Linked DNA regions of Canis lupus familiaris. The protein of the gene in region 2 interacts with the protein of the main gene of each other region in a pairwise test. Links are inferred from orthologs where the notes say so. Each region holds a gene or a part of one and is shown on either strand. Other genes may lie near its edges. The genes, in order: ERGIC3, VAMP5 and STX16.

What was found.
Region 1: the proteins of VAMP5 (region 2) and ERGIC3 interact in binary tests that used the Homo sapiens proteins (3 or more experiments, as listed by UniProt). The link is inferred for Canis lupus familiaris from reciprocal best matches to the Homo sapiens genes VAMP5 and ERGIC3.
Region 3: the proteins of VAMP5 (region 2) and STX16 interact in binary tests that used the Homo sapiens proteins (3 or more experiments, as listed by UniProt). The two-hybrid records come from large-scale screens. The link is inferred for Canis lupus familiaris from reciprocal best matches to the Homo sapiens genes VAMP5 and STX16.

The regions. Positions count from the first base shown.
Region 1 is NC_049245.1:25,017,098-25,022,436, reverse strand, and holds the end of ERGIC3 (endoplasmic reticulum-Golgi intermediate compartment protein 3), read right to left. Parts: intron 4,083-5,339; coding exon 4,068-4,082; intron 3,425-4,067; coding exon 3,393-3,424; intron 2,578-3,392; coding exon 2,481-2,577; intron 2,404-2,480; coding exon 2,339-2,403; intron 1,677-2,338; coding exon 1,540-1,676; intron 1,445-1,539; coding exon 1,389-1,444; intron 1,187-1,388; coding exon 1,107-1,186; 3' UTR 973-1,106; downstream 1-972. UniProt on the Homo sapiens protein: Possible role in transport between endoplasmic reticulum and Golgi. Positively regulates trafficking of the secretory proteins SERPINA1/alpha1-antitrypsin and HP/haptoglobin.
Region 2 is NC_049238.1:39,840,367-39,845,628, forward strand, and holds the start of VAMP5 (vesicle-associated membrane protein 5), read right to left. Parts: upstream 3,246-5,262; 5' UTR 3,147-3,245; coding exon 3,144-3,146; intron 1-3,143. UniProt on the Homo sapiens protein: May participate in trafficking events that are associated with myogenesis, such as myoblast fusion and/or GLUT4 trafficking.
Region 3 is NC_049245.1:44,190,977-44,195,692, reverse strand, and holds part of STX16 (syntaxin-16), read right to left. Parts: intron 3,956-4,716; coding exon 3,790-3,955; intron 2,731-3,789; coding exon 2,639-2,730; intron 2,079-2,638; coding exon 1,935-2,078; intron 1,409-1,934; coding exon of another isoform or gene 1,391-1,408; exon of another isoform or gene 648-1,390; intron 641-647; coding exon 560-640; intron 1-559. UniProt on the Homo sapiens protein: SNARE involved in vesicular transport from the late endosomes to the trans-Golgi network.

The DNA.
Region 1 (5,339 bases), on a different chromosome or scaffold from region 2:
GGGGCCTCCCTGGAGCTTAGGGTGGGAAATCAAACCTCCTTCCCAATACAGAAGGTGAGAAGATAGGGAGGTGCCCAGGGGAAATTCGGGATACTGTTCACAAGTAGGAATGGTTTCCAGCTGACCAAAAAAACAAGACTCACTACAGCGGCAATACGATTTGCAATTTCTAGATGAGACCTGGCCAAGGCCACACAGCTCGTGAGTGATCACATCAGAGCCGGATCTCAGGCCGGTCTGCCTCTAGAGATGTTGCTCTCATCATCCCACTTTGCTTCCTGTCTTTTCTATTCCTGCTTCCAGTATCTTACCCAGACACTCCCTGAGAAAGGACTGAATGAACTGACCAGCTGGCAACATCCTTGCTTCCCTGGGCTGCAGCATGGTCGGGGTCTTGGGCCTGGTTCTGCACACGTATTCGGGGCTGTAAAGGGAAACCCTGAGGAGACCCAGAGCTGGGGGTCTGATGCCAGCCCGGCTCCACAGTGGCCATTGCTCCCATCTCTCCAAGTTTTTAGTTCTGCCTCCACCTAGGAGACTCAACCCAACCTGGCTGGACCCCTCTCAGTAGACTGAGCCCAGGGTAGCAGGGAGAAGCCCCGGCTTTAGCCCTCACTGAAGAGGTGACAAGCCCCAGCCTGCACCCAGGGCCCTAGTACCACTGGGGTCAGCCACTCATGATCCTGAGGGCCATAGTGGCTCCAGGAAGCTCATACGGGAAAGGTCCATCTCAGCCCTGGAGCTGGACCCAAAAGGCCCAAAGACCAGTGCAGAGGAGGGACTGAGGACAGGGCTGTGGGGTAGACATCCGTCAGGTTTGAATAAAGCCCTATTAGCCAGGGGATGTCTATGTGGGGCTCCCAGAGAGCATCTGGCCTGATCTGTCAGTCCTGACTGCTTTCAGTAAGTGGCTGAATGAGGGGTTGTTTCTAGGCTCTGGTCAGATACAAGAAGCACACGGAGACCAGTGAGTACTATCACAATTAATAGATTTATCAACCTGGGCTCAGAACGACGGAGTGGGGGTGCGTGGGGACGAGGCTGGGAAATGACCAAAGGGCCAAAGAGAAACAGGAGAAGGCAACAACAGAGGGGGAAGGAGACAACTACGTTGTCTTCCCGAGATCAATTTTCTTCTGGATGGCTCGAGCTGAGTGGTAGATGAGCGAATCGATGAGTCCAGCCACTGGGGAGAGAGATAGAGGCTGGCACTCACCCAACACGTGGCTGGACCCCAGAGCCTCCTCACCTAACCAGCTAGGCCAGCATCTCCCCTTGGCTGCTGAGGTGCCCCTCCTTCCCCTCTGCCACAACTCCAGCAGGAAGCCCAGGCTTTATCTTCTCTGCCACACCCCAGCCCCAGCCCCAGCCAGCCTAGAGCTTCTGACCTGTGAACATGCCCCCGACGATGGCGCACACGCCCGTCAGGAAGTGTGTGAAGGACCTGGTGGAGGGACAGGGTGGGTGCCAGGGGCGGGTGTTAACAGGTACCCCTCCTCCCTGAAGCCCCAGGCCCCTCTCCGTCACCCCTGCCCTCACCTGTGCTTCTCTGTCAGCTTCACCATCATGGGTGACAGCTCATAGAGCACAAAGACTCCAGGAAGCCCCTGGTCACCCATCAGCCCATTGGCGACCTTCTCATGTCTGGTCACAGAGAACTGATTTGTCCTCAGCACCTGGGACAGGAAGGGAGTCAGGGCCAGGGCTGAGTCTGTGACCTGGCTCCCAAGTCCCCCAGCCCTATGCCTGTTCCTGCCCCTCATGTGTGGTGCCTGCACTGTGTGGGAGGGAAAACAAGGCCCCGGTTGCTAGTGAACACCTCAAGGCTTAGGGACCCCCCAGACACTCTCTCAGCCAGCCTCACCATCTCAGCTTCTCCTTGGTCACCAGCTCTTTACAGTTTACCAATCCCAGCTACATGCAGAGGGTTCTCTCAGCAGGGGTTCAGGGATGGGAAGCAACTCTCCAAGACCGCACACCACGAACTCCTGGCAAGGCCAGGCTTGACTTCCCGTCTGCCAAGATGCTGCTCCACCGGCCACAGTAGAAAGGGAAGGAGGGGACCCAGGAAGGGTGAGCTCCCAGCCCAGGCAGACCATGTGGACAGTGAGCACCAGAGGCATGGATGGAGGCAATCTGGGCAAGTAGAAAGCACAAGTGCTCTCAAGCCTCCCGGGGCCTGCACTCTGGCTGTGGGGGTCCCATCACCTACTGCCCCTGCACGTCAGCTTGTCATCCATCAGCTGGGGAGAAGAGCAGCACCCCACTTCCCAGGTTGACAGGACTCAAGTGTTTGGCACCAGGAGGGATTTGGATACCCAAGCTCCTGCAGACTCACCTCTCCATCTACCTTCATGTACACCGTGGGCACCACCTTCACAAAGTACTGGAACATCATGGAGGCTGCAGGGAGAAGAGAGCACTGGGCATGAGTGCTGGACAGGGCTTTGGCAGCTGGGGGCCACCTTCCAGGCTGGTACCTTGGGGTGCGGTGACGTTGGTACGGTCCAGGGGGTTCACAATGCCTGGGTAGTCCTCCCCAAATGACAGGTGCCGGATATAGTGGGTCATGTTGATCTGCAAGCAACACCGACACGTGAGCCTCAAGCGCTCAAGGCCCCAACAGCCCTCACCCCATCGGAAGTTCTGTAGTGCAGCACCAGACAGGGGTACCTGGCTCTGGGGAGGGGGTGTGGGGAGATGGGGGAAGGAAGAAGAGGTCCTGCCTGGGAGATGTGACCAACACAGGCACCCCCACGCCCCACCGGGAACTCCTTTCTCCCAGAGTTCACAGCCTCTGGGCCTCCACAGTTTGAGGCTCCGGCTGCATCCAAACACAAGGCACATAAAGACTGGGCACGGACTCCGTATGGCAGGGGCCCACTTTGCCTGGGAGTCTCAGGCCAGGGAAGCCCCGCCTAGAAGCGCCCCAGATTTCCCAGCTCCGACTCCTGTCCTGCTCCAAACTTTATCAACCTCAGTCCTTAGAGGGATCTTTAAAAACCTGCAAATCTGATTATATCATGATCCTGGTTAAAGGGCCAACATCTGGAAGCCAACAGCTTCCATCGCTCTCAGGAGGAAGACCGACTACTGCTTGACCAGAGTCCCCGCCAACCTCTCCAGCCTCACCCCCCACACCAGCCTGGGTGGGGTCTGAGAGGTGCTCCACTCTCTCCTGACTTTGCCAGGGGGTCTCTGCCCAGGACGCTCCTGTCCCCCATCCCCCACCTCTGGCCTGTGCAGATCTCAGTTCCTGACCCTCAGACCGATCCTCTTATAGAATACGGGATCTTTTTATCTGTGCCCCCTTCCCCAGTCATCCCCGTGGACACATGAAGCAGCAACCACTCCCACCCCATCCGCCTGCACGGCTTCTGGCTGGTACGTACGTTGTCGAGGCCGAAGCTCTGCAAATCATGGACTAGGAGAGAAGGGAGAATGTGTCACCGGGTGGAGCAGGACTGGCTTCCTGCCTCCCTCAGTGTCCTCGCTCGGGCCTCCTCACCCCTCCCTGAGTATGACTGCCCAGCTCCTCTTCGGCCCTTCATCCCCCCAGCCTGGCCCTGCTGAAGGGCAGCCCGTCAGGCCTGTCTTGGGCCTGTGTGCGAGTCCATGCCCTCCTCGGGCCTTAAGAACACAGACCCCATTTCCTTCCCAACATATACAGGGAGCCCTCTACGGGCATCTCCCAGGTTTCCACTCTCGCCCAGTCCCTGCTTGTACCTCAGGAGCCAAACCCTGCTGACTCTGGTCTCTCACTAAACACAGCTGATGGCCAATCACTGACAAGGCGAAGTGGGCCCTCAGAATGCTGTCCAAGCACTTTCCCTGGCCCCTTGGCCCCTACCCTCAGAGCCCTCAAAGGAAATGCCATGGGTACCCTGTACCGTCTATTCTAGAACAAGTGCTTCCTGTCCTCTGGTCCTGATCATTTCTGCTTCAAGGAACCCTACCTGAAAAGTAAGACCCCAATCCCAGGCCCGTCCAAACCTCCCCCCATCCTGGGAGGGTAGGGTGCCCCAGAAGCCGGGGCTTGGCCTCCCTGGCGGGGCAGGGCCACTTACTCTCCACAGCATGTACTGCAGCATGAGGTAGGGAAGGAGAGAGAGGGGAGGAAGAGAAAAAAGATTGAGAGCTTCACAATGAGAACTATGGAGTAAGAGACATGGTAGAAAGGAAGCCTGGAGTATTCCTGCCTCGGCAGCAGGGTGTGGAACCAGCCAACAAGCCTCCTCCTGGTCCCATCCCCAGGAGAACTCTTCCCTAGCCAGTGAATGCAGGGGCTCTTGAGGGCAGAAGTATGGTGGCCTGAGAAGAATAAAAGACTTAGAGCCAATAAGCCACTTTCCTAGCTGTGTTACCTTGGGCAAGCCACTTGCCCTCTCTGGGCTTCAGCGATCTCTACAAAGGGCTGTCCTGAGGACCAGGTAGGATCTAAGACGGAAAAGTACTTGGTGAACTTTATAATTCCTGCCTCCTCCTCCAAGCAACAAGGATGTCAGGATCTAGCTTCCAAACCTTCAATCTAGCCAGATTATCTGGCCTCAGGCAATCAGAGCTTTGTCTTTTAAACATCCTCCCAGGACACAGACCACCCCTTGCCCTGGGCTCCCTGACTCTGTCAGCAGCCCAGGTGGGGGAGCGGAGAGGCTGCTGGGGCCTGCCAGCCCACTGCCTCCTCCCGAGTGCCTCCAGGCCCCATGCCAACAGCTCCACAGTGACCATCTTCCCACAGTCCCTGTGAGACCACCCTTCTCGACCCCCTCCAGGCCCACCTCCCATCCCTGACCCACACTCTGCCTCACCCCACACACTGCCTTCCACACCAGCAGGGCTCTCCTATTACTCCTGCTCACTACAGCCCCTGGGCAGCTCAGGACTGCCGCTCATCTCTCACCCCTAGACTGCTGTCACACTGGCTCTGCAGGTCCCCTAACACCATCCCGACTCTCAGCCCTCCCATGGGCCCCACATCTCACATGAAAACCCCTATATTTTCAACCTCTACTCCTTACACTCACCTTGTCACCCCAACTGCAGCCTGGCCCTCTTCTCAGGGAAAGATCCTTTTCCCGGCAGCCTCCTCAGGGGTGACAAATTCTTCCCCACACTTACCCTCCTCCATGGCCTGAAGCGAGGCCTTGCTCCTTAATATCACTTCCAGATCACTGTCCCTCGAGCTGCCCCCCAAATCTCCAGCTTTGCAGCTCGTGGCAAACTATACCAACTCTCCTTTCTCATTTTCATCACTTAAAGAGATCCACACAGAAGCACTTCTCCTTGGTGGCTCTACCCTCTGGCCACAACTTTCTCCTCACAACCCCATCACCCTTCCC
Region 2 (5,262 bases):
GATGGCAGTGACAAAATTTTGGGCAGGGAAGCCATCCAGAAGGAGTGGAAAAGTGCCCCCAGCAAGGCTGTGAGGAGTTGCCAAGTTCATGGGGAGCAGAGAGTGTAGAGGGAAAGTGTGGGTGACTGGGTCATTTCCCAGCCCTGCCCGATGTCTGCAGGGCCAAGGGTGGGCCGTGGAGTGGGGAGCAGCAGCACGGATGGCAGACAGGGGGTGGCAGTTACACAGGAAATGTTCTCAACAGACCGTTACCCTCTGTACAGAATATCTGCTTTCAACCCTCAAATATCTCAGGTTTTTCCAAGCCAAATAGCCTTGGTTCTTCATTCCTTTTTTTTTTTTTTTAAAGATTTTATTTATTTATTCATGAGAGACAGAGAGAGAGAGAGGCAGAGACATAGGCAGAGGGAGAAGCTGGCTCCTCACAGGGAGCCTGATGCTAGACTCAATTCCAGGACCCCGGGGTCACAACAACATGAGCCAAAGGCAGATGCTCATCCACTGAGCCACCCAGGCACCCCACCCTTGGTTCTTCTGAAAACAAAGCTCTCCAAACCTCTCTGCCCTAACTCTCCTGTCTCCCTTCTCTCTGGGAGACAAACCCTATTCCAGCTGTCACCACTGTCCTAGTCAAAGAACTGGGGATGGGGCGGGGGGGGGGGGTTGCTGTGTGTGCAGCGGGCAGGCAGTGAAGGGGTGTATCAGTTCCTTGCTAGGTCAGCATTCACCTGAGCTCAGAGCCAAGGGCCGGGGCTCTGCACTGCAGCCCCGGGTTCCCTCAAATCTTGCCTCTGCCACTTACCCACTATGCAAACTTTCTGACCCTCCACTTCCTCATCTGTAAAGTGGTGACAAGAATGATACCTACATGATGTTAACTAAGGCATATGACTGTCACGAACAAAGTGCTTATCACAATACCTGACAATACTGAATGCTCAATGAGTAAGAGCTATTATTATAGACAGAGCCCAAGCTCCCTGGCTGATTACTTTTTAAGCAGTCAGATCTCAAGAATTATACCATACAAATGGTCAATAAAACCTCTTAGATAATTTTACAAAACACACAGCCAAGCAAGCTCTCCTTATTGCAAACTCGTGCACTTAATTGTCTCTAACCTAAACACAGAACGTCACCTGGGCCTTTGATAACTGGCATAGAGTTTATTTCCATCAAGCACTGCAGGCTGTTGAGAAGGTTTTAAGTCTTGAAGGTGATAACAGCCACCATTCAATGGGCACGTACTCTGAGCTAAGCACCATGCTGCCGGCTGTTTGTTCACCTGATCTGATTTAATCCTCACAACAATCCATTGAAGGCATGTTATCATCCCAATTTTATAAGAAACTGAGACTCAGAGGGGTTAAATCATCAAGGTTGTACAGTCAGTAAGCAGGCGATCCAGGAGTGGAACCAATAGACTCCAAGAATCACATTCTTCACCACGGTGCTAAAATGAATGCAGGTGCGGGGGGGGGGGGGGGGGGCAAATACTTTAGCTGGCTGCTAAAGACTCCCCAGACCTTTTAATGCTGCCAAGCCAACCCTTGTGCATATGAGGGAAGCCTGTAGCTCAAAACTCACATTCACTGGACACTGCACGAGAGAAGACCACCTATAGGATGAATGAATTCAAGCCCTTACCCATCACTATTTGTTCCTGTTCTATCCCCATACCTGTCACCACATCCGGCACGGAGGAAATGCCCAAGAAATGTTTGTTGATTGAATGAATCAGAGGAGAGGACAAGGAAGAAAGACCAGGTAGGGAAGGGAGTGGGGAGAAGGAAGGGAAAGAGTTGGGGCCAGGGACAGGGGCAGGTGTGAAACAGAGAGATGGGACTAGGAGATGGGAAGGGAGAAAGATCAGTGTACCCTCCCCAGGCTCTGATCCACTGCTGGCCTCAGATGAACCTGTGAGAGTGTCAGAGTTTTCCAGTATCCACCAATAAATTATCCTGGCCTCAGCCTTCACTTAGGAGTTTCCTCTTCTCCCCCACGTGCTCAAGGCCAACTGGAAGCCCACCCCTAGCCCTGCCAGATCCCTTGCCCTGTATGCTGGGAAGTGGGCTCAGAGCTTTGTCCCATTCTTGGAGCCTCCCTTGGTTTCCTGGCGTGGCCTTAGAGCTCAGTACAACCTTCCTGTCCCGCTTCCTCTTCCTGCCTCTGGTTCCCTAGAGATGAGGCCATCCAGGCATCCCGACCCCCAGCCAGGCCACATCTATCACACCTCTGTCAGCTCCTCCAGGGCAGAAGCTTAACGTACCAAGCCTGCTTCCTGCCCAGCCCATCTTCCCAGGAGTCCGGAGGATGGAGGAAAGCTACTGCCACCACCTGTTTGCGGCTGACACCTTTGTCTTAGAGATGGCAAGTGGGGACACAGGCCAGAGTTTGCAGCAGGAGTAAGGGATGACTCACCTCAAGAATGTGTCCCTGGGTAGAGGTTAGGAGACAGGCCTGTGCCATAGTCTGATAACTTCAATGGAACTTGTATAGTTAACATGTACCTTTATCTTTACCTAGGGTCAGAAGAATGCCCTCCAACACCCCGCCATGGCTGGCTACCACCCCATCTGCTCGGGTTTCCAACTCCGGGCCACACTGCTCTGTCTTCTCACAGCTCCAGGAAGGGCCGAAGAGGTCACCACACTACCTACACTGCTCAGGAGCTCCAGGCGGGGCTCTGCCAACTGTATCTCCCTTAACCTCCCAAGTACCCAGTAAGGCAGGTAATGCTGACCCCACTTCATAGATGCGGAAAGAAAGTTCAAGAAGGTTAAGTGACTTGCTCCGGGTCACAGCGCCGGTAAGTGGCCACCACCAGGATCTCAGCCCGGAGTCCGACTGGAAGCCTGACTCCGAAGCCCCGAAACCCGAAGCCACTGCGTGTAACCCCTTGGCTCGGGGAAGGGGGAAGCCAGAGCCTTGCTCCCTGCGCACGGGCGGCCGAACTGTCCCTCGCCGGCCTGCGCGCCCCCGCTGGAGGAGGCTCTGGCCCAGCCGGCTCCGGGCGGCCGCCACTCTCGGGGGGCCCGGAGAAGGCCCCCACCTCGGGCTTCAGACTCCGGCCTCGCACCCGTCCGGCGCCCTCCGCCCCCGGCCCGCCGGCCCCGCTCCACTCCGCCCCGCCCGGCCCTCACCATAGCTGCAGCCGCCGCCTCGCCAGCCAGCCGGGGCTCCTGTGTCGCCGCGCGGCCGCGGTGCCAGATCCCCGGGAGGAAGCGGAGGGGCGGGGCCCGCGGGGGCGGGGGCGGGGGCGGGGGGGCGCCTGCCCGGGAGCCCGGACCTAGCGAGGCAAAGCGAAAGCTGCCGGCTCCCGCCCGGCTTCGCACGGTGCCCCAGCCTCCGGGGCCGGGCCCTCCCGCCTGGGCAGCCCCGGGCTCGCTCGGCCCGCGGCCACACGTCGGGGCCCGTCGGCGACCCAGTCTCTGAAGCGGGCAGCGTGGAGCGGGCCCTGGGGCCGAGGTCTGCCACCGCCACCGTCCGGCCCTGGGCTAGCGACGCCTGGAACAGCTAGCGCGTGTGAAGTGCAGTCGCTGGTAACCAGACTCCGCGAAAAGTTTCAAAACGAAAGAAACTTTATTCACCATCAGCATTGTGAATGCACCACCTGCCGCTGAATTGTGAATTTCAGAATGGTACCACTGAGTGGTACGATTGTGTGTCCACAATGTAGGTTGCGTGAATTTCACCTCAATAAAGAAAACAGACCCCCCGGGGAGAAGTTACTAGTTCTAGCTTTTCGGTATTTCCCTCTTCACCACAAGGGCAGCTGCAGCCCTGCCCTCATATAACCCTGCTCCTCCAGAGCCTGCCTCCATGCCCATCTCCCCTCGTGGCTGTGGCCACCCCCACCCCCTGCCTCCCCCACCACCTCAACTGTGGCTCCTCTTGGGGAAGGGGGTTGAGGGCTTCCGTCCTAGCATTGACCCTGCCTGAGCACGGCCCACATTCCTACCCTGGGCAGTCTGGGTCCCAAGGAAGTGGTTTCACCCCAGTTCTGTGGACTTTGAGTCCAGGAATGACAGACGTGAGGAGAGAGGATGACCATGGTCTGAGATAGGAGGACACAGGAGGACAAAGATTGGCCTGAGGGCTTTTCTATGCTTTTTTTTTTTTTTTCCCTCCCTGGTTCTCTGAATATGATTCCAGAACCTGACTTGCCAGGAGGAGTCCCAAATCCTGTCTTCCAACCCTGTCCCTTCCACACTCCCCCCCACCCCCAAAACAGATTGTTTTCAATACCGGAAAGCCCATGGGAGAAACAGGGACAGAGATGGCAAGAACCCTTTCCCCAAACCAAGACAGGAAAGAGTGACAATGAGGTGGAACCTGGCAGGGAGAAGGGAAGACCGAAGACAAAGAAGCCCATTGTACATGGAGGGGAAGGAGGGCCATAGGCCCTGTCCTGTGACACTGACTGAGCCCAGCCACAAGATATGGTGAGAGATGCTCACCCTCTCAGCTGAGACCCGGAGGCCCTGCTAAGTCCCAAAAGGGCAGACAAAAGACAAATAGAACTTTGAGAACCAGGGGTGCCTGGCTGGCTCAGTCAGAAGAGCATGTGACTCTTGAATTCAGGGTCATGAGTTCGAGCCCCATATTGGGTAGAGAGATTACTTAAATTAAAAAAATAAACAAAAGAACTTTGCAGAACCAAAAAGAAGGAAAAGTGGCCCAGTTCCTCTAGCACCTTGCTCTAGACTGCACCAGGGCCATAGAAAAGAGATGAAAGGAGGTCCTCAGCCTGTCTTGGCTAACACTTCTAGTAGAAAAGTAATAAAGGCACATGGCAAGGCTCAAGCCCTTAGGAGTCTTGTGTACCACCCTAAAATGGTTTTGAATTTTCCATATGTGGAAACCCTCAGAAAACTCTGGTTCTTGAGACCTGTCACAATGAATGGAAAATAGAGAAGAATGGGGAGACTCCATCTTTCTTCTCCAAACATACACTTTCTACCCCTCCAACAATGGGGCCTCAAATAGGAGAATCTCAGCCAGAAGCTGTCCCCAGGGAGAATAGAAATAGAAGGACCAAAGGCAAAAATGGAAGGGGACAAATTACCTCACATGTGAAGGGATACTGAAAGGTCTTTATTGCCCACCGGCCACCATCAGTGTCCTAGCCCCATGCTGGGCCTTCTGGATATCTCTCCAACCAACTCTGAGGGCCCATGAAACAGCCACAGTCCAACTCTCTCCTTCCGGGGGACCAAGGTGCCTGGGGCAGACAGTGTGGCAGAGGGGCCTCAGAATGAG
Region 3 (4,716 bases), on a different chromosome or scaffold from region 2:
CGAGATCCACTCAGCAGCATATGTATGTTTCTCATCACTGATGACAAGATTTCTAAGACGCTTCCCGTTTATTTTTAACAAATATCATGAAAGATATTCCGGAAATAGCTACCTTATTAGCAAAGAGTAAGAGAGCTACTCTCACTTCAACAAACTATTCTTTTCTCAAGGTAGCACACAGATATACTGCAGTAATTAAAAGGGAAAATGAGATTTTTATCTGCTCCAGAATGATCCTCTACCAGCAATTCATCAGAAAGGTGTCACAGCAAGAGACCTGAGTCAGCAGCAACAAGCACACAGAACGTTCAACACACACCTAGCAGGTGCCCATTCCCTTGATTCCCTAAAGCAAGATGATTCAAAGAATCAAAGACTTTCCAAAAGAAAGAAATGGCCAAATCTTTTATAATCTATCGTCACAGAAAGGAGTTCTTGACAACTTCAAATCGAAGTGCGAGGTGTACCTCGAACCACTCCCCACAGTACAATGGCCAACAACCCACGTGATCAGCTCTGACTAAAATGACCCCGGACACCTGGACACGTACGACATTACCTTGTGAAGCTGTTTCAAGCCATCTTCAGTTTTGATACAGGACTGCTCAACATTATAGTCAATTCTATCAAGGACTGTACCCTGGGTGATAAATGACAGTTACAGACGATCAACAACTGCAACTGGAAACGTGGAATTTCAAAACTGAGATATGCAAATTGCAGACATCATTATCCACAGGATTATCTGTTTTACTTAACTGCTGCTGTAAAGGTACACACGGAAAGCTCTGGAATCCATCATCAAGCAATATTAGGCACTCAATGGCAGAGCGCTGTGTTAGTCACAATAAAGTATAACTCATGAGAAAGAAATACTGACAAATTGAGGTTTCTTTTTTGGATTTAGCCACTCTAAGATATGCCACATTCAGACTTACTGGGGCTTTAAAAAAATATACGGTTCAGTGGAAAGAGGCTCTGAGAGGCGAAAGGCTGGCTTCTGTGCCCATTTGCCGCTTAAATACTTGGATTCAAGTAAGCAGAGAGAGCTGGTTAAGCTAGACCCGGTTATGATTAGGCCTGGAAATAGACTGTCCTGTCTATAAACGTCAACACAGGTTTCCATGGGTCAGAGCAAAGACGGTGAGCTCCAATCCACCATGTAAAATTACACGTTTGCCTCAAGGAGAATTTTGTTTTTAATTGTTTAATCTGTCGGTTCAAACAGAGAGAAGGGAACACCAGGCTATGTGGAAGAACAGGGCTCTTAATGGAACACACTGTATCAGAAGAGATAGCAAGAGCAGTTCCTTGGGAACCGTGGGAGTAATTACTGTAACTAGATCTTCCATGGCCTCAACACTCCATTGTGCAGCTGGTTGCAGGGGGATCAGGACCCAAATCCCTGCTGGCAAGATAATAAAATACCCTAATCAGATTGTAACAGTGAACAAACAATTTAATTCTACTTGAAAGCTAGTGGTTCCAGTTGCCCTTACACAATAACCTGCCAAAATTAGCAGGGAAACCTTATCTATTGCCAGAATCATTGCTGAGTGGGGGCAGAACCCACCAGACCCCCGAAGTAGGGTGGTCCCATGAGCATCCTTGGTGTATGGGCAAAGAATCTGAGATCTTCTACTGATACCTATTTTTTACTTAAAAAATAAAAGGTTATCAATAGTTTTATAGGGAATGACATTAGTATATGCATATAATTTGCATATACAGATCTCTGTGCGGAGAAAATATACACATATTTGTGTGTGCATGTACACACAAAAGTGTGAGCACACACAACATACATACATACATACGTGGAAGGGCAGGAGGGTCAAATTTTGTTTCCTGACAGGAATACGGAATCAAAAGTCTCAAGAAGGACCAGATGTCATGGCAGGAAAACTCAACGATGAGGAAGGTAAACCACGTACCTGCTCCACAATCATTGCTCCTAAGTCCCTAAATATTTCATTCAGGTCAGAAATGGACTGCACGATCTGGCGAATTTCCCGCTCCCTCTCCTCCACCATCAGAGTGTTCTGCTCCACCAGCACTAACTGGTCATCTGTAAAACCCTAGCAAAACAAAAAGTACAGGATTTGTGTGTCAGATTCTCTTCTCCCACCTCCAGAAAGGTATGGTGTACCGCTGTAGGTATCATTTAAAGAATGAATTCTGAAAATACTTCTATAAAGCACATAAACACAACACATAAGCACTTATTTTTCCCTAACGGGAAAGATCCAAATTCCTAAAACAAGCAGGACCTAAAGCACTAGTGGCCAAAGCAGGGGACACGAAGAGAACCCATGTCTGCAGCTACACAAGGGCTGAGTAGCAAAATCACCAGGGATAGCCTTGCACTTCTCTGGGTTCTTCCCAATGAGGGGTGTGCAGACTGCTTTCCCGAAGGTTCTGAAAGGCAGATTACAAGGCCTCCTTGTAGCCTATAGAAAGGAAGAAACAGTATGGCCCCCATGACTGTTCTTCCACTTGCTGCAAAAACTACTTGATGGATGTACAAGTCAAGCAGTGCTGACCCATTTGCATTGCACAGAAGTTACAGGTCTATGAAGAGAAGGAACAGAACTGAGCGCAAATGTACAGCAGTCAACCTTGCAGCCCCTTCACGTACCCGATCATAAAGAGTATTATCGTCTCCATCATCCATTAGTGGTACTGATGTATCAAAAAAATGCTGGGATCTTTCCTCTCGATTCTTCATGCCTATCATAGATAGGAATTCACTTTACTCGAATATGTAAACCATCCTGGTTACTGTTCCACCATTAAAAAGGGGAAATCTAGAGTAAAACTCAACAGTCAAAATGGAGATACTCTTAGCTTTACAGGAAGCCTATCTCCAACAGAGGTGGGGGGAAGAGTAAAGGATTATAAACATATAACAATATGCAAGCATTGGGGGTTATTCCAGACAAAATCACATTATAAATGTGTACTATTCACTTGATGCCAAGTGAGTGACAAAATGACACTTAAAACAATCTGAGAATCCCTAAGAGAGGCAGAAATATTTAATCTAACTGCTGCTACAAAACATTTTTTTAAATCAATATTTCTTTCCAGAAGCATCTCTAGTAACAATTCCAAATGACCCTAATCGAATTTTAGAAGTAATAAAATTAAAATACAAATATGCCAGTTGTCAGAGGGAGGGGCAATTATTATTAAATTTTTTGGAGTGTGTGGGGATATTATTGATTACAATGGCAATATAGGAAAACCCAATTTATGAGGTAATTTGAACACAGATGTGGCCAGAACCGGACTTTTCACGGCCTCCGAAGAAAAGGTAGGCTGAAATCACTTGTGCCAAAGCAGCAAGTGGCTCAACTACTCCCAAAAAAGTTTTCAGGCATTCAAATACTTCAGTTGTTATGCAAATATAAAGCTTTCATGTGATTACAACTTATTTTACTTATTTGTTAGTAGCTTCCCCCAACCCAACATCTGGAAAGCTCCATGTTTTATAAATGTGCTAGAATGATTTTCAAATTTTTGAAGCTCGACACAGAGTACGTTGTGTTTTGTTGTGTGTGAACTATTGCAACCCCGGTCCCCAGCCTCCGTCCATGGGGGCGGGGCGGGGCCAGCTGCCAGTTGCCATGGAAGGTGTGAATGTGCTCAAGGGGTTAAGGACGAGGGTACAGGAAGAAACGGAGAACTAGCAGCAAAAAGGAAGGATGAAAACAGAAAGTGGCCCATAATCCTAGTGCTGAAACTTTCATGACTCAAAATCCCTGAAATCAGCCTGGTGACACTCACGTTTGAGGTAGCCCGACTGTGCACGCCGGAAGCTGGTGGACAGCTCCTGCAGAGCCTGCGCCAGGGAGGCCACCACGTTGCGAAGGAGCCGCTCCTCCTGCTCAGAGCAGGCCCTGCGGGCCCGGCTGGGCAGAGCCTGCACCGCACGCTGGCACCTGTGAAAGAGCTGGGAGAGGAAGCACACGGCTCCCAGTGAGCCGTGAAGGGAGACCCTGAGTGCTAGTGTGTCTGCACTCACGAGTCTGAGAGACATCAAATGCTCTGTTCATCTGTTCACACGGATGAGCCTCGAGAAAGGTGACCAGATCAAAGTGATCTGAGGCCTCACTTATATGCACAGAAAGACTGATCGGGATGTGAACAAACGCTGTGTGCTTGTGCGCTGTGTGTTGGGGCACTGTGCACACATTCTCAGGCTCCATCACCACGTGTTGCTCTATTATTGCAACCTTCTCATTTAATCCCTATCACTACCCTGGGGCAGGTATTAATATTATTGTTCCCATTTTATAGACAAGAACACCAGAGTCAGAGGGCTTAAATGAGAACCACGGTGTTGTTACCCTGCTAAGAGCTGGAATTCAAACATTGCAACACCCAGGGCTTTCCTACAGCACATCACCCCTTCACCGATGACCAGCATCAGGAGACGAAGACAAATAAAAAATGTACACACTAAAGTTTACACGCTAGTCATATAATTTAAAATTACTCAAATTTAACATTTTACAAGGAATTTTTCTAAGGTACTGAGTTTCTCGAGGATACTAATATACTCAAGCCTAGGGCAACAGCTCCCAATCTTTTCCAATTATGAGGACCATTTTTTAAGATGAATAATTTTTAAGCACTAGCGTACAATAGAAGTTAGTCCGTTCACAGTGGTAACTATCACAGCTGAGAAAACAGTCTCCATTCCTCTAAGAC